4 linked regions of the Arabidopsis thaliana genome follow. The protein of the gene in region 4 interacts with the protein of the main gene of each other region in a pairwise test. Each region holds a gene or a part of one and is shown on either strand. Other genes may lie near its edges. The genes, in order: ADA2A, AT5G66000, AT1G47655 and TRB2.

What was found.
Region 1: the proteins of TRB2 (region 4) and ADA2A interact in a two-hybrid assay, tested with the Arabidopsis thaliana proteins (one large-scale study listed by BioGRID).
Region 2: the proteins of TRB2 (region 4) and AT5G66000 interact in a two-hybrid assay, tested with the Arabidopsis thaliana proteins (one large-scale study listed by BioGRID).
Region 3: the proteins of TRB2 (region 4) and AT1G47655 interact in a two-hybrid assay, tested with the Arabidopsis thaliana proteins (one large-scale study listed by BioGRID).

The regions. Positions count from the first base shown.
Region 1 is NC_003074.8:2,469,306-2,475,112, reverse strand, and holds ADA2A (ADA2 2A), read left to right. Parts: upstream 1-2,017; 5' UTR 2,018-2,050; coding exon 2,051-2,103; exon of another isoform or gene 2,104-2,205; intron 2,206-2,331; coding exon 2,332-2,393; intron 2,394-2,476; exon of another isoform or gene 2,477-2,477; coding exon of another isoform or gene 2,478-2,529; coding exon 2,530-2,732; intron 2,733-2,860; coding exon 2,861-2,926; intron 2,927-3,012; coding exon 3,013-3,138; intron 3,139-3,216; coding exon 3,217-3,289; intron 3,290-3,395; coding exon 3,396-3,456; intron 3,457-3,545; coding exon 3,546-3,604; intron 3,605-3,758; coding exon 3,759-3,809; intron 3,810-3,896; coding exon 3,897-4,125; intron 4,126-4,214; coding exon 4,215-4,425; intron 4,426-4,517; coding exon 4,518-4,796; intron 4,797-4,904; coding exon 4,905-5,099; 3' UTR 5,100-5,282; downstream 5,283-5,807. Other genes in the region: AT3G07750 (3'-5'-exoribonuclease family protein), read right to left, coding at 1-134, 225-368, 676-800, 895-973, 1,175-1,267, 1,356-1,412, 1,505-1,627; AT3G07730 (uncharacterized protein), read right to left, coding at 5,507-5,807. UniProt on the Arabidopsis thaliana protein: Required for the function of some acidic activation domains, which activate transcription from a distant site. The exact mechanism of action is not yet known.
Region 2 is NC_003076.8:26,395,908-26,399,130, forward strand, and holds AT5G66000 (uncharacterized protein), read right to left. Parts: upstream 1,609-3,223; 5' UTR 1,446-1,608; intron 1,334-1,445; 5' UTR 1,306-1,333; coding exon 658-1,305; 3' UTR 560-657; downstream 1-559. Other genes in the region: AT5G65990 (Transmembrane amino acid transporter family protein), read left to right, coding at 1-414; AT5G66005 (uncharacterized protein), read right to left, coding at 1,957-2,072, 2,414-2,570, 2,649-2,733, 2,820-2,910, 3,007-3,094, 3,175-3,216.
Region 3 is NC_003070.9:17,523,622-17,526,820, forward strand, and holds AT1G47655 (Dof-type zinc finger DNA-binding family protein), read left to right. Parts: upstream 1-1,720; 5' UTR 1,721-1,815; coding exon 1,816-2,445; 3' UTR 2,446-2,687; downstream 2,688-3,199. UniProt on the Arabidopsis thaliana protein: Transcription factor that binds specifically to a 5'-AA[AG]G-3' consensus core sequence.
Region 4 is NC_003076.8:26,955,020-26,959,346, forward strand, and holds TRB2 (Homeodomain-like/winged-helix DNA-binding family protein), read right to left. Parts: upstream 2,756-4,327; 5' UTR 2,505-2,755; intron 2,089-2,504; 5' UTR 2,055-2,088; coding exon 1,905-2,054; intron 1,828-1,904; coding exon 1,607-1,827; intron 1,523-1,606; coding exon 1,438-1,522; intron 1,365-1,437; coding exon 1,281-1,364; intron 1,184-1,280; coding exon 824-1,183; 3' UTR 549-823; downstream 1-548. Other genes in the region: DG1 (Tetratricopeptide repeat (TPR)-like superfamily protein), read left to right, coding at 1-461; FRO1 (NADH-ubiquinone oxidoreductase-like protein), read left to right, coding at 3,054-3,212, 3,360-3,448, 3,633-3,762, 3,944-3,973, 4,281-4,327. UniProt on the Arabidopsis thaliana protein: Binds preferentially double-stranded telomeric repeats, but it can also bind to the single G-rich telomeric strand.

The sequences.
Region 1 (5,807 bases), on a different chromosome or scaffold from region 4:
CTTGGGTCTAAGCCAGACCCGCTTCGTTTGGTTAACCCACATATATGGCCTGTCCGATTCACAGATATAGATACAGCTGAGCTCATCTGAGACTCCTCTTCTGCTGTTGCATCAACTATGTAATGCGTTCCCACCTGCAAAAACCAAGGACAGCATGGTAAAAGATTAGCGAAATGTACATAAGAAGATGTCGATGTGAATCAAGAAAAGTGAGATTCGATTACTTTTGTTAACGTGACTATGACCGGGACACTGGAAGTGTCAAATTGAAGATATTCCTCGTCGCTGATGTCAATCTCTGGTTGCTCATCATCTGCTACTTCAGCTGAAACATTGACTTTTGGGATGGCCGTGTTGGTTAAAGCAGCCTGCAGGAGTATAGTCAACAAGTGCATTAAAGCATGTGATCAGCCTTGAGGAAAGATGACTTTTGGGTTGCTTAAACTATCAATTGGAAACATATCGTAAAGCTACTAAAACCAATAACAAGACAACTACATTGAGCTAATCTATATACACTTAACTAAAGACCCATTCCCTTTCGTTTCCTATATTCTCTGGCCTTTCCTTTCTCATGATTCTGATTGATGGGTATGATTTACTCACTAACATTCGTAACTAAAACCTGAGACTAAGGGTTAAGAGAGAAAACCAAACACACATCACAAGAATTACCTTAATGGCAGCACCCAGGGCATCCAATAGATTCCCATCCGAACTAATGACAAGACCATCAATATAAAGGTCCCAGCAAACTTTTCCTTCTTTGATTAAAAGCGAAGATAAATTTATTCCAGCTCCTGGTACCAAAACATGAATTGCTATAAACGTTACAAACAGAAAGCGTAACAGTGTGCAGGTAAAAAAAAGCATTGCATAAACATGATTGCAGACCTGCTCCACTTTTGCCACCCAGAAGACATCTTTGAAGAGCCAAAGCAAGCTCAGAAGACAATTCCTCACCTCCTCTCCCCTAAGTAACAACATATCACAAAGAATTAGCCGCCTAAAGACTTAACACAGTAGAATTTAGGAGATTCTGAAGAAAAGTAATGATAACCAAAATCTCATGTTGAACAATTCCACTAGTAAGAGAAACACCAATAGAACGATAGAACGGGTGTGACAAGTGCTAGATAGAACCAAAACCAAACGAAATAAAAGAAAAGCTCACCCCAAATGTCGGTTCAGCTGTTGGACTGCAATCAATGAAAACTGCAACCTTTCCTTTATCGGGTTGAAGTGAACTTGGCCTCCCAATTTCAGCCTGCAATTACACAAGATTACTGGGTAACATCTACAATAGCACTTCCCATTCAACAATAGAACAGTAGCAGAGAGAACAAAGGAAGTACCTTTACACTAGCAATCACATCGGTTCCACCAATTCTAACTCTCGCTGAACCATTAGCCTAGAGCCAACAAAAACAAGAGAAAGAACATATCTGTTAAACAACTGGGAAGCAACAATGAGAAGCGGACGAGCTCTAGGAGATTACACTACCTGCGGAATAACACCGGTTTCGACGTAGATAGGACGGTAAGTCAATCTTTTCCGACCATCAGTTCGAAGATCTTGAGCAATCCCACCTTTAATGAAATGTTGTTCCCCAAGAGAAAGCCCCATCACTAATACTACACAGAGAACGAATTAGATCAACTGCTGAGGAATTTCTACCGGAATGACAAACTTCAAGGTTCACGGATTGGTGCTAGGGTTTAAGAGACAGCTCAAACAAAGTACACATCTTTATACAGCACAATCAAAACCCACTAATCTTCTTTACCTTCCCGGAGAATTCAATAGAAGACACAACTCTGAAGTTTTCCGGTGACCCTAGCGGCAACTTTGGATTGGTTAGGTTAAGAGAGAGACGTGACCACTGACAACTGCCGTAGGGTTTAAAGATGGCGTGAACATAATTATTGACACTTGTTAAGGGTAATTTAGTCATTTACCGACTTACCATTTTTTCACTGCTTTTTAGCGTTTTCTCGCTCTTCTGGTTTTTTCTTCAATCTGCCGGGAAGAAGTGCGAGCTTGGTGCCGATGGGTCGTTCGAAACTAGCTTCTCGTCCTGCTGAGGAAGACCTGAATCCAGGGTTCGTTTAAAGTTTCGTTCTTTGTCCATCTTAGCTCGAAGTCTTCTAGGGTTTTCTCTGTTCAATTACTTACTTGTCTTTGCGAAAACATTTCAATATCTGGTAATCCACTTAGCTGTGTTTGATTATCTGAATCGGAGTTCTTTTGGTACTTGTGGGTGGCTCTTGATTTCATACTGCTGTCGTCTCTTGTCTTTATCCTAATTTTGATGATTTTGGCTGTTTCAGAAAATCAAAAAGGAAAAAGATATCATTGGGTCCTGAGAATGCTGCGGCATCAATTTCCACCGGTAGGTTTCCGTTTACTTGTGCAATTAGGTGTGATACTGATAGGACTAAAGTTTCTGCTGTGGATAGATATGCATTGATGTATCATGTACCAAGCTGCGTTTTCCAAAAGTTCTTACATGTACCAATACATTGTAGGAATTGAAGCTGGGAATGAGAGGAAACCTGGCCTTTACTGTTGTAACTATTGCGATAAAGATCTGTCTGGTTTGGTTCGTTTCAAATGTGCTGTTTGTATGGACTTTGATCTTTGTGTGGAATGCTTTTCTGTCGGCGTTGAACTTAATCGTCACAAGAACAGTCACCCATATCGTGTTATGGTTAGTTTCCAACGCCGAGCAGTATATTTGAATTCAATTCAACGCTTTGTCAGCTGAAAAGTAATTAGATTAGTGATTGTGTTTAAAACAAAGAAAATGTTCTATGGTTGTATTTTTGTTTGTATTGAATCTACCCTTTTGTTTGACAGGACAATTTGTCTTTTTCGCTTGTTACTTCTGATTGGAATGCCGATGAAGAGATACTCCTTCTTGAGGTAATCATTAATCGTTTCTGATTGTACACTCCCATGTCTATATAGAGATTCCATCTGACTATTGGGAAGTAAATTGACTGTGTTAGGCCATTGCGACATACGGGTTTGGCAATTGGAAAGAAGTTGCAGACCATGTTGGTAGTAAGACAACGACAGAATGTATTAAACACTTCAATTCTGCTTACATGCAGTCACCATGCTTTCCACTTCCGGTAAGGACTGATGAAAACACATGATCGTCAGATAGTTGAACCTAGCTTGTTTATTTACTCTAGCTCCCCGCTCTGTAGGACTTGTCCCATACTATTGGAAAGAGCAAAGATGAGCTGCTTGCTATGAGTAAAGATAGTGCAGTCAAAACAGGTCAGCTTTAAAATCTATTAGCGGGGTTTCTTGTTGATTTGGGACTCGTATATTAACCTTGACTGAAAAAAGGAGGATGCTGAGCTCTGTTTACTATTTGTCACAGAAATACCTGCATTTGTGAGGCTATCTCCAAAAGAAGAGTTACCTGTGTCAGCTGAAATCAAGTATATACTTATGCTTGTAACAATAGTTTACCTACGTTTACAATGTTGAATGCACCTTTTTAAAAGTACTATTATGTTTCCATGGGCAGACACGAAGCTTCAGGGAAGGTCAATGAAATAGATCCACCTTTGTCTGCCTTAGCTGGAGGTATGTGAAAATGCTTTTATCTATATAAAATTGTAGACATTATTTGCACTTAGATTTATGGCTAAGGACGCAAATCATCCGCATTTCGTACTACGACCCCAAATATTATCTCTTCCATGATTCCATATGTAAAGTAATACTTTTTATTGTACAGTCAAGAAGAAAGGCAATGTACCGCAGGCTAAGGACATCATCAAGTTGGAAGGTTTGTTATATACTGGAACAAGTTTTTATGCAAAGTGATATTTACGCGAACAAAAACTAAAGGTAGTTAACGGCCCTTGTGTCTTAGCTGCAAAACAACAATCTGACAGGAGTGTCGGGGAGAAGAAACTCAGACTTCCTGGAGAGAAAGTTCCATTAGTAACAGAGTTATATGGTTACAATCTAAAGAGGGAAGAATTTGAGATCGAACATGACAACGATGCTGAGCAACTGCTTGCTGACATGGAATTTAAGGATTCTGACACAGATGCTGAGCGTGAGCAGAAACTGCAGGTTCTTCGTATTTACTCGAAAAGGTACACTTATCACAGGAACAACCATTTTTAAACCGGAGAATTTTTTCATAAGCCAATGCTACAAGCCAAGATTGTGCCTTTGTTGGCAGGCTTGATGAGAGGAAGCGGAGGAAGGAATTTGTTCTGGAAAGAAACTTGTTGTACCCTGATCAATATGAGATGAGCCTTTCAGCAGAGGAGAGAAAAATATATAAAAGCTGTAAAGTGTTTGCGCGGTTCCAATCCAAAGAAGAGCACAAGGAACTGATTAAGAAAGTCATTGAAGAGCACCAAATTCTCAGAAGAATCGAGGATCTTCAGGTTTGATGCTTAAAATTTTACCAAGCTTGAGTACTGGATTACAAACTCAATTAGGTGGGAACATTAAGTTGAGCTTTTAATAAATGTTGCAGGAAGCTAGAACTGCTGGTTGCAGGACAACTTCAGACGCAAATAGATTTATAGAAGAGAAGAGAAAGAAGGAAGCTGAAGAAAGTATGCTGCTGCGGCTTAACCACGGTGCACCAGGCAGTATAGCCGGTAAAACACTAAAAAGTCCAAGAGGGTTACCCAGAAATTTGCATCCCTTTGGTTCTGACTCACTGCCAAAGGTCACACCTCCAAGAATATACAGCGGTTTGGACACTTGGGATGTTGATGGTCTCCTTGGAGCTGACTTACTCTCAGAGACCGTAAGAACAATAATTTTCAAACTTGATGTTTGTCATCTTATTTGTGATTTTGTTGATTTGTTGACATTATTCCTATGGTTTGAGAGATTGAAGCTGTTTTTTGTGCAGGAAAAGAAGATGTGCAATGAGACCAGAATACTGCCTGTACACTATTTGAAGATGTTGGATATCTTAACAAGAGAAATAAAGAAGGGGCAGATAAAGAAAAAGTCTGATGCTTATAGCTTCTTCAAAGTAGAGCCGAGTAAAGTAGACAGAGTATATGATATGCTGGTTCATAAGGGAATAGGTGACTCAACATGACTCATAGCTTCATGGTCCTAACATGTACTTCTCGAACATATATTAGCCATGTAAATATAAAGGAAGGTGATGCTGATTTTGGTTACACATCTTGTTCTCTGTTAGTTTCGACAACTTGACAATGTCTGATTGTTATGACCTTCAAAGGCTGTTTCAGATTTTTTGATACAACGTTTAAACTGAATATTGTAATGCCTTCACTCATCTGATTCCTTCAATTTTTGTTATATGAGATCAGAAAGTCTTGAGACATTGCATCAGTTTTCAGGAAAAACCTAAATAAAACCAGATTCTTTGGTTACAAGAAACTACACTGGATCAGATTGCCATCCAACAACAAAGAAAAAAAAAAAAACAGACAGAAATCCAAAAACTTAATCTACATGAAGCCAAAAGCTTTACCATTTCTAAGGTTGCCAACTTTGAGTCTTCTCCCAAGGCTTGAAAACACCATCATGAGAAACATATTTCAAGTAAAAGAAAAAGCCACGCAGCAACTTCAAAGCTCTTGCCTTATCAACACCAACCACAAGCTTGTATTCTTTTTCGAAATCAGGGAAACTTTCTAGATAAGATTGTCCCAGTTCGTCAGTCTCATAATCAGATCCTCTTCCCTTTCGTAGTTCTCTGCATCGAGTCATTTTTTTATGGATTGATACGTAACGATGGAGCTGCTTCATCTCTCCTTCATCATATGGATTTTTCAAA
Region 2 (3,223 bases), 560 kb from region 4:
GACATCATCACCACCAACCTGGGGACAGGAGTGGTGAGCACTCTGGTGCAGCTGGGCTTAGCAATCAACCTCTTCTTCACATTCCCCCTTATGATGCAACCTGTCTACGAGGTCGTGGAACGCCGCCTTTGCAGCTCCCGTTACTCTGTATGGGTGCGCTGGGCCACTGTGCTGGTGGTCACGCTCGTGGCCCTGCTCGTCCCAAATTTTGCAGACTTCTTATCTCTGGTGGGGAGCAGCGTCTGCGTGGTGCTGGGCTTTGTCTTGCCATCACTATTTCACTTGCAGGCTTTCAAAAACGAGTTGAGCATCACAAGAATAGTGGTAGACGTTCTCGTTTTCCTCATTGGTGTTATGATAGCCATTACCGGGACCTGGACTGCAGTACATGAGATCCTGACATCCAAGGCCTGAGCTTCTTCCATTGTTTATTTTTGTCAGTATGAAAAGAGAAGCATTGTTACCTCCAGCGAACACGGCATTATTATTGTTATTCTGTTACTCTCCTCACTTGTTTATTTGAGTCTTATTACTCTATTTGTAAGAAAGACGCACCATGGAAAACCAATAAGAAAAATACTCTTAGAATCAAGTTTGATAAACACCATTTGCGGCTATTCGCAACAAAGAGACTAAATCAAAACTGCAGAAGCCAAATCATTTGGACTTTGGCCTCCCTCTTTTTCTAGTCACCTGAATCTCTTCTTTTGCTCCTTCTCCATTAACAGATTCGTTCAGTCTATCGGTATCTAACTCCATGCCAAGGCCATCGAATTCCACCCTCTTGGAAACGGCATGCTCTGTATTCAGCCTCTCTCTTGAGCATGTGGGAACCGCACACTGGTCGTCGTTCTTATGTTGACAACTCGAAGAAGAGTTTGAAACTATGCCCTGACTGACGACGCCTCCAAGTTGCAACTTGGAGGGTAATGCATCATCCTTGGAAAACAACAAGTCAGCAGCAACATGCTTCTTCTTCATCTTCTTGTCCTTGTGGAGACATGCGTCTTGTACGAGTCCCTGGTTAGGAGGAAAGGAGGCAATCAAATCTAAAGCGGTCTTAGCAGCAGCAACGGCTTTTGCTGCAGCAGCGGCTTTCTCATCTGCAGTAGCTCTGGCGGCCTTAGCAGCAATAGCAGCAGCGGCAGCAGTACATCTCGAAGCATCTGCAATCTCCTGAGGGGTGAGATCTGGATTACTCAAATGAGAAGCTAAAAGAATGCTAAGATGGTAATCAACATTGGTGGAAGGATGTGGAACTCCATTAGCATCAACCTCTTTTGTCAGCACATTGACGCCTTCCATAATTACACATACAACAAATCTCTCTAACCTACAAAACAAACCCTATCAGATCTTACGCGGATATAAGAGAGAAGCCAACATCGGAGTCTGACGCTAAGATGCATTTCTAGAAAACCGATGAAGTAAGCTTAAGAGTTTACCTTGAATGCGCCTGCGAAAAGAGATAAGAGAAGTCCGCCAAAATTAGGGTTTTGGAGGTCGAAATTCTGAAACTCACAGATGAACGTTTAGGCTTGTTGTGTATTTATACACACACTCACACATTAAAATTAAATTTGAGACGAAGATGATAAAACCCAAGCAGCGAACGACTTTCTTCTTCTCCGACACCAATTTCTTCGCACGTTCTGTTCGGATATTCGCTTTATTACCAGTGCGTGCGCGTCGTTCCGTTTCACTTCCTCCCACAAATTACTTACAGATTATCCCTTTTGTCAAATTGTTTTTTTTCTTTTAATTAGTTGAATTCCTTTTTATTTAGATAATGAAGATGTTTTAATGTAGAAAGACAACAAAACATGCATAATTTATGTAAGTTTTTTTTTCCAAAAATCTTTGTGCTTTTAGCCTAAACATGTTTTGAAATGAAACAGTGGATTACATTTTAGAGGTTGATAGGGAAAGAGATGTCTTTTGACAGGCTGGGAAACCCTATTGCTTGGGCAGCCAACCAGAGAAAACATCAAAGATATGTTCTTTCATGGGATCTCTGTTAGTCGCACTCAGGGAGATTACATTCACTCCCGGTTGGTTCTTCAACCTTGCCACTGCAGACAACAAAGAAGAAAGTAAACTTTGTTAAGGAAAATAGATTAGTGAACTCTATGCAGCTTATCTAGACTGCCAACAGAGGAGGGTGACACATAAAGCCAATACAAGAGTACATCAAAGTGGACCATAGCACAATTGACTACTCAAGAGTTGGAAAAGTGTTCCAAACAGTATATAGATGTGAAGGCACTTTCATAAATTTCAATTTAAGCAGCACGCACGGTTATCATTGGCATCAGGATTGGAAACAACTACAGGCTGAAAACGAATCTAGTTAACAGATGAAACCGAGCTCTGATTCCTCAATAATTATGTTTGATTCCAGATAATGAATTACCTTCAGGAAGATGTCGACCAAATTTTGGGCTAGGAATGGAAGCAAGAAGAGGAACGTTGGAGTCCAAAACATTGAGGACAGCCGGAAAAAAGGATGGACTAAACATCTCCATCTTGCCAACTTCATCAATGATGAAAAGATTGGTATCGTCTTTGACCTTGAAAACCAATGCTAAACCAGTCAGTCAGTGTTCATCTATCCAAATTATCAAGGAAATGATGAGCTGACAGAACACCTGTAGCTCAGGCAAGGCTATAGACTCGAAGGATGCAATGTCCACTTTGTACTTGCCAACACTAGGCCATGTCATCGATTCTTGACTGCCAACAGAGAGAAACAAGTAGCCTAATTATCTGTGAGAGGGAAACTAGAGATTTAAGGGTGAAGAAGGAGAAGGAGGATGGACCTAGAAACAATAGAAGAAGCAAGCAAACTTGTGCGGCCATCCAAAGTGACCACTTGAAAACCAACCCTTTGTCCTCGTTCCCTCATCTCTTCTGTGTGTTAGTTATAACTAACGGTATCATAAAAAAGAAGAAGACTTGATGACTGATTGGTGTTTAGAAAGAGGAAGAGAGAGAGAGCTTACTTACGAGTGTAGAAACCCTGGATTTTTAAGTTAGGGTTGGAAACCCTCATCATATCCAACACTCTCATGATCAATGTGGTTTTTCCGACACCCTGCCCAAAAAGTATTGAAATCCAACAATGAGAAACTGTAAAAGGCGATGAGAGGAAAGCAGGAAGATAAGCAAGCTCACAGGAGGGCCGGTGACAAGAAGGCATTTCCCGGTGCCTGCCATTTTCTGG
Region 3 (3,199 bases), on a different chromosome or scaffold from region 4:
TCAGAAAGAAGGTCTAGACTATACAGATACTTTCTCTCCAGTGGCAAAGATGACTACAATCAAGTTGTTATTGAAGATTTCTGCCTCTAAGAAATGGTTCTTAAAACAGCTTGATGTGTCTAATGCTTTCTTGAATGGTGAGTTAGAGGAAGAGATTTACATGAAGTTACCTGAAGGTTATGCGGCAAGGAAAGGTATCACTCTACCTCCTAATTCAGTCTGTCGATTGAAGAGATCCATTTATGGTTTGAAACAGGCCTCTCGTCAGTGGTTTAAGAAGTTTTCTGCTTCATTACTTGATTTGGGTTTTAAGAAGACACATGGTGATCATACTTTGTTTATTAAAGAGTATGATGGAGAATTTGTGATTGTTTTGGTTTATGTTGATGATATTGCTATTGCGAGTACAAGTGAAGGTGCTGCAATACAATTGACTCAGGATTTACAACAGCGATTCAAGTTAAGAGATCTTGGGGATTTGAAATATTTTTTGGGTCTTGAGATTGCTAGAACTGAAGCTGGTATTTCTATCTGCCAGAGAAAGTATGCTCTTGAGTTATTAGCATCTACTGGTATGGTTAACTGTAAACCTGTTTCAGTTCCCATGATCCCGAATGTGAAGATGATGAAGACTGATGGTGATTTGTTGGATGATAGAGAACAATACCGTCGTATTGTAGGAAAGCTGATGTATTTGACAATTACTAGACTTGACATCACCTTTGCAGTTAACAAGTTATGTCAGTTTTCCTCTGCTCCTAGGACGTCTCATCTTCAAGCTGCTTATCGAGTTTTACAATATATCAAAGGCAGTGTTGGCCAAGGTCTGTTCTATTCTGCATCTGCAGATCTTACTCTTAAAGGTTTTGCAGATTCAGATTGGGCTTCCTGTCCAGATAGTAGGAGATCAACAACTGGATTCAGCATGTTTGTGGGTGATTCATTGATATCTTGGCGTTCCAAGAAACAGCATGTGGTTTCCAGATCTTCTGCAGAGGCTGAGTACCGTGCCTTAGCACTGGTTACGTGTGAACTGGTATGGCTTCACACTTTGCTCATGTCTTTAAAAGCTAGCTACTTGGTTCCTGTGTTATATTCTGATAGCACAACTGCTATTTACATCGCCACAAATCCTGTGTTCCATGAAAGAACGAAGCATATAGAGCTAGATTGTCACACGGTTAGGGAGAAACTAGACAATGGCGAGCTGAAGTTGCTTCATGTGCGAACTGAAGACCAAGTAGCGGACATTCTTACTAATCCGTTATTTCCCCATCAATTCGAACACCTTAAATCCAAGATGAGCATTCTTAATATCTTTTCATGCACATCTTGAGGGGGCATATCAGATATGTATATTGGTTTAGTTGGTATTAGTTGGTTTAGTAGAACCATTGTATAGTGTAAAGTATATAAGACATTTGTACAGAATCATTTTACAATTAATGAGAAAAGGCTTCATAATATCTTCAACAAACTTTTCTCTCATCTCTATTCCGCTAATAATTCATTTTAACGAAGTAAATACTATTTTTAAATCCACTCTCATATTTTAACCATTTTTTAGTTAAATTTAATATAGAAGAAATTATTTTTAAAAAAAACTAAATATGAATTAAATTATTTTTAGAAGGGGAAAATAAATTAAATTCATATGTATCAATTAATAAATAAAAGGCAACTGAAAAAAACGTCTAAAAGCCTCTATATAAAAACCACATCACCACTCTCACAACATCCCCTTCTCTTTCGCTTTCTCTCTTCTCTCTTCTCTCCATTAACTTCTCTCTCGTTTTCTCATACTCTCAACTTAATATGCCGTCGGAACCAAACCAAACCCGACCCACCAGAGTTCAGCCCTCAACGGCGGCTTACCCACCGCCAAATCTGGCTGAGCCTCTTCCTTGTCCTCGCTGCAACTCCACCACCACCAAGTTCTGTTACTACAACAACTATAACCTCGCTCAGCCTCGCTACTACTGCAAATCTTGCCGCCGTTACTGGACTCAAGGTGGTACACTCCGTGACGTCCCCGTCGGTGGTGGAACTCGTCGAAGCTCCTCAAAACGTCACCGTTCTTTCTCCACCACTGCCACCTCCTCTTCCTCCTCTTCTTCCGTCATCACCACCACGACACAAGAACCAGCCACGACTGAAGCGAGTCAAACTAAGGTTACTAATTTAATTTCAGGTCATGGAAGCTTTGCTTCTCTGTTAGGTTTAGGAAGTGGAAATGGTGGGTTGGATTACGGGTTTGGGTACGGGTACGGGCTTGAGGAGATGAGTATTGGGTATCTTGGAGATTCTTCCGTAGGAGAGATTCCGGTGGTTGATGGTTGTGGTGGTGACACGTGGCAGATTGGGGAGATTGAAGGTAAAAGTGGAGGAGACAGTTTGATATGGCCTGGTCTTGAGATCTCAATGCAAACCAACGATGTTAAGTGAAAATGAAACCGTTTCTGATTTCTTGCCTTTGTCTTCTTTTGTTGGTGTCTTTTTGGAAATTTCTGTTTGTTTTCTTTTTTTTCCTAGAAAGAAGAGCAAAAGAAACCAAATTGAAGCAAAAATGTTTTTATTTATTTTAGTTTTTGAGGTCCAACAATTCTGGTGTATAAATCCTCTGTTTATGTGACGAACATATTGGAATGGATTTACAAGTAAAAAGTAAAAACGTTTCTTTCTTTTTATTTTGGTTGGTTAATATTTTGAAAGGAATAGTCAAATGTAGAAAGATGAATTGAGCATAAAAGTCCAAAAAGGGAAAAAGTACATAAGTACTGTTGCAGAAGTGAGTAAGAGATGCTCTGTTGCTACATCTTTGAAATGAGGAAATTGCGTTGAACTTAATTTTGTTTGTATTATAGATAAACATCAACAACAACATTGTTCATTTGCAGTGTAGAAGATTTTGTATATCAAAGTCATGTGAGTCTAGTGTTTAGCATATGAGACAATTCATATGAATGCTAAGAACTAAAACCTTTCATTCGATCAATGGATTAGAAATTCTTAGGGTTAATGTAGATTATGGTGTACTTATCAGCTAGTGTTATTTTTTTGTAAAAATCTTTAGGTTTAATCCTTGTGTCAAACATCTCAGCTAGAGTGTACTTGGTTAAACGTTCAAATAAAATTTGAATGTAGGGAATATAGCTAATAGATATTGTTGTGTAGTCTCCTATTGTGGTCAAAGCAAGAA
Region 4 (4,327 bases):
TGATTAACACTGTGGCTCTCGCATCTTTCCAGATTAGTGAAGAAGAATGGACTGATCTTTTTGAGGAGCATCAAGACTGGCTTACTCAAGATAATCTTCATAAGCTCTCGGATCATCTCATTGAGTGTGATTATGTAAGTGAACCAACGGTCTCAAACCTCTCAAAGTCATTGAAATCTCGATGTGGGTCTTCTTCTTCTTCAGCACAACCATTGTTAGCCGTAGATGTAACAACTCAAAGTCAGGGCGAAAAACCGGAGGAAGATTTGCTTCTGCAAGATACAACAATGGAAGATGATAATAGTGCTAATGGTGAAGCTTGGGAATTTACAGAGACTGAACTCGAAACGTTGGGTCTAGAAGAACTCGAGATTGATGATGATGAAGAATCTAGCGACTCTGATTCACTTTCAGTTTATGACATTCTGAAAGAATGGGAAGAGAGTAGTAAGAAAGAATGAAAATGCTTGTAAATTTCCTCAAAATCTTTAGTAGAACAAAATCTCAATTTTTTTGCTTACTCATCTCACTTCAAAATAGTTTCAAGGTTACTAAACAGATCATCCACATACAATAAAAGATCAGTTATACAGAATCTCAGATTCGGAGAAAGAACATACATATGATCAAACTGCGGATTTACACTGTTACTAACCAAAAAAAGAGAGCAGATAGGTTTGGAAACTTAAAAAACTCTGCAGGTGATGAGATATCGCCTGATTCAAGATCGGCACTCTTAAGAAACCAGTAAACCCACTAAGTATATATATTTTATGGCTTGCTTTGTTACAGAACTTCCCCATGATGGCTATTTCTTTCTGTTTCACCAAGGATGATTACGGATCCTGAACTTCAAAGCTTTCATGGCTGCCTTTGCAAATATCTGAGCAGCTTCAGCTTCTGCTTCTGCTCTTTCTGCCTCTTTTGCTGCTTGTTCAGCCTCTGTGATAGCAAATTCTGCCTCTGCAACTGCTCTTGCTGCAGCCTCTGCAGCTTCTTGAGCTGTCATGCCTTTTATCATATATAATTCACCGTCTACTCGGAATTTAGTGAGACTGTTGGCACCGTTCTCCTCGGGTTTTGTTGGGTCTTTCTTGTTGTTTCCTTCCAGAAAGAGTTGAGGAGCCTTCTGTCTTGCACCTGCGGGAATAAAATTAGAAGAAAACCTGTACTTGTGCTTTATCTGAAAGTGAGAAATCACCAAGTAAGTATTTTTGAAAATTCTGAGAGTAATGAAGTGTTAGTGATCATGAATCTTGAATCAAAAGTTGTGTGTTTACCTTAACTAATGTTCCATTCGATGATAAATGCTTTAATCGTACTGCGACATGCCTTTTCATATTCGGTGGAGTCTTGAAATTCTCCTGAAATTTAACAGCTACTAAGTAAGTATGCAACAAACCCCAACCAAACATGTAATCCCAATGGTAGAAATACCTCTATATACAGAAAGATTGATGTTCTGTCAGAACCGCGTAGTTCCCTCAAGTTGGTAATTGCCTCAAAGATGATCTTATCCAAACTACAAAAACAGACAATAGCGCAAGATCAAATCTTTATGAACTCAAGAAAATCGTTATGTGGTGCATAAGTCAGGGAACCAAACCTTGTAATTGATCTCTTAGAAGCACAAGTGCGTGGTGATCCACCACCAGAACCTCCGGGGGAAGTTGGTTTTGCACGTTCATCATCATTAGTCAAAGCCACAATGGTAAGAGCTGTGTTGTTATCATCCTGTTTAGTACCTGGTGGAGTCCTCTTAAGCGCAAGTTTAGCCTTCTTCCTTGAACCCCATAAAGCTGTCACGCTTATATTTCTCCATTTGTCCTGTTATGCCTTGAACTATCAAGATTAGTCCGAAACACGCGATCACAACCTCCAAAAAGCATATTATATTGTATTACCTTAAGATCAACATTAGAGCGAGACTTAAGGATTAAACTAAACTCAGTATCCGAGAGTATGGTACGCCACTTCCCAGTCCCATGCTTAAGAACTCCAGCTTTAAGAGCTGCTTCTTCTTCCGGTGTCCACTTCTGCTTTGGTGCACCCATCCACAGTTATCAATATTTGAATTTCTTCTTTTCTCTGCCAATAGATGTGAACGCTAACATTAGAATCTGTTAAATCGTACGAAACTTAACCACATCAAAGCCATTGTTGAACATTTCTTATCCAATACAAAATTTTGGTCATCTAAATCCAGCAGATACACAAAGCCACAACATAAAAATGTAACTACACAAATCCAAAGAAATTAGATACGCCCCAAAGCTCAATTCAACAAAAAAATGAGTGATTCGAGCAATCTCGAACCAAAAAAAGAGGATCAAAGCCCATTAACAACGTCGCAAATCAACAGGAATTTGGAAATACAGCCATCAATCTAAAGCGATAGCTAAATTATCAACCAAATTCAAATGGGGCGATCGTAGAAAATTAAAAACAAAAATGGAAAATTCAGAGAAGGAAGCAGAAAGGAGGAAGGAGGAGAAGAAGCATGCCAGATCAAACGAAACCAAAGGAGAGTTTTCGAGAGAGAGACTTGATGATGAAAGCTAATTCCTTGTATAGATGTGTCATAGATCAAATGTGATTCGCTGAAACGAACGAAGAAGAAGAAGACCAGAGAGGCTAGCATAAGGAAGAAGAATATCCATAGAAACGAGAAACAAACTTGAGCTTTTCTTTTGTATTCAAGCTAAGGAAGATGTAACCCTATATTTCTCCACATTCACAAATTTGCCTCAAGTTTATCAAATTACACAATAAAACCTACCAACTAAATGAATAGGATCAAGCTGAATAAAATATACTAGTACTATTTTTTAAAAATAATGTATCTATAAAATTTATCGTTGTTAAATCTCACAGATAGTTTAGGGGCTATTAAAGATTTTTCATATAATAGTAAGACCGAAAGCGTAATTTATAAAATTTTGATGGCTAGATTGAAATATGTGTTTTTTTTTTCTTTCTAAAATCTACAGAAGTAGAAGAAACCAAAGCGAAATCAAAAAGCTCAGCAATTTTCCAGATTTCTCTAATTGACGATGGCGCTTTGTGCTACTACTCAAAGGACTATCCGTATAGCGGCGACGCTCCGGCGTGTTGCTCGACCTTTCGCTACTGACGCGGTGGTTGAGTCGGATTACAAGCGTGGTGAGATCGGTAAGGTCTCCGGAATCCCAGAGGAGCATCTTTCTCGCAAGGTAAATAAGCATTCGATTTCTTACGAATTCAGTTTAGAAAATTAGGGTTCGTGATCAGAGAATCGTCTTAATTGAGCTACATCGTGTTCTTGATTTGATTTTGGTCAATCGAATAGTGCTAAGAGTATTGAATTTGGAAATTAACAGGTGATAATATACTCACCTGCTAGAACAGCTACCCAGTCAGGATCTGGAAAACTCGGAAAATGGAAGATTAACTTCGTCTCCACCTTAAAGTATGCTACTTTTTGATTAAGATAATCCTCTTTTCCTCACATTTTATGTCCTAATATGATTCTTATCCTTAAAATTCCTATCTTTTCAAAACTTAAGTCTTCTGCTTGTGACTAGTACTAGTCCATCACTTGTTGATTAGATTTCGATTGACATCACTTATCTATGGCATTCATATGTTTCTAGGTGGGAGAATCCGTTGATGGGATGGACTTCTACAGGTGACCCCTATGCTAATGTTGGTGACTCTGCTCTTGCTTTTGATTCTGAAGAAGCTGCTAAGTCTTTTGCTGAGCGTCATGGTTGGGATTATAAGGTACGTTGTTTCCTTCTTCGTTTTTAGCTCATTTTTTTTTCTGGTCGCATTCACTCACATTTTATGAGAATGTGATGGTTCTGTTTTTTTTTTTTTTCGATCACCATTGTGATGGTTCTGTTTTAAGATCCCTTAATATAGAATTCAGAGTACTGAAAAACTTACATCTAAATCATTGCAGGTCAAGAAGCCCAACACACCATTATTGAAGGTTAGTAACTATCTTTTTGCTAATGCCGCATTATGACTTACGAGCTCTACTCATATGAGGTGTTTAACCCTAAAGCTGGAGATTCACTGGAACGACCCTTGAATGTTGTGTTAAATAGATAGGATATTCTTTAACTTAACTCATATTGCTTCATCAGAAATGGTTTGGTGCCTCTAGTTTAAGATTTAGCTACTAGTTTGACGAGCGATAGTCTCTTTCATTCCTTTGATTTATTTGGTAGAACATTCTTTAGATTGAAGTTTTAACCTAACCCCATGATTGTTCATCATCTAACATCTAACTGCAGGTCAAGTCTTACTCGGACAACTTCAAGTGGAAAGGCAATCCTCAACC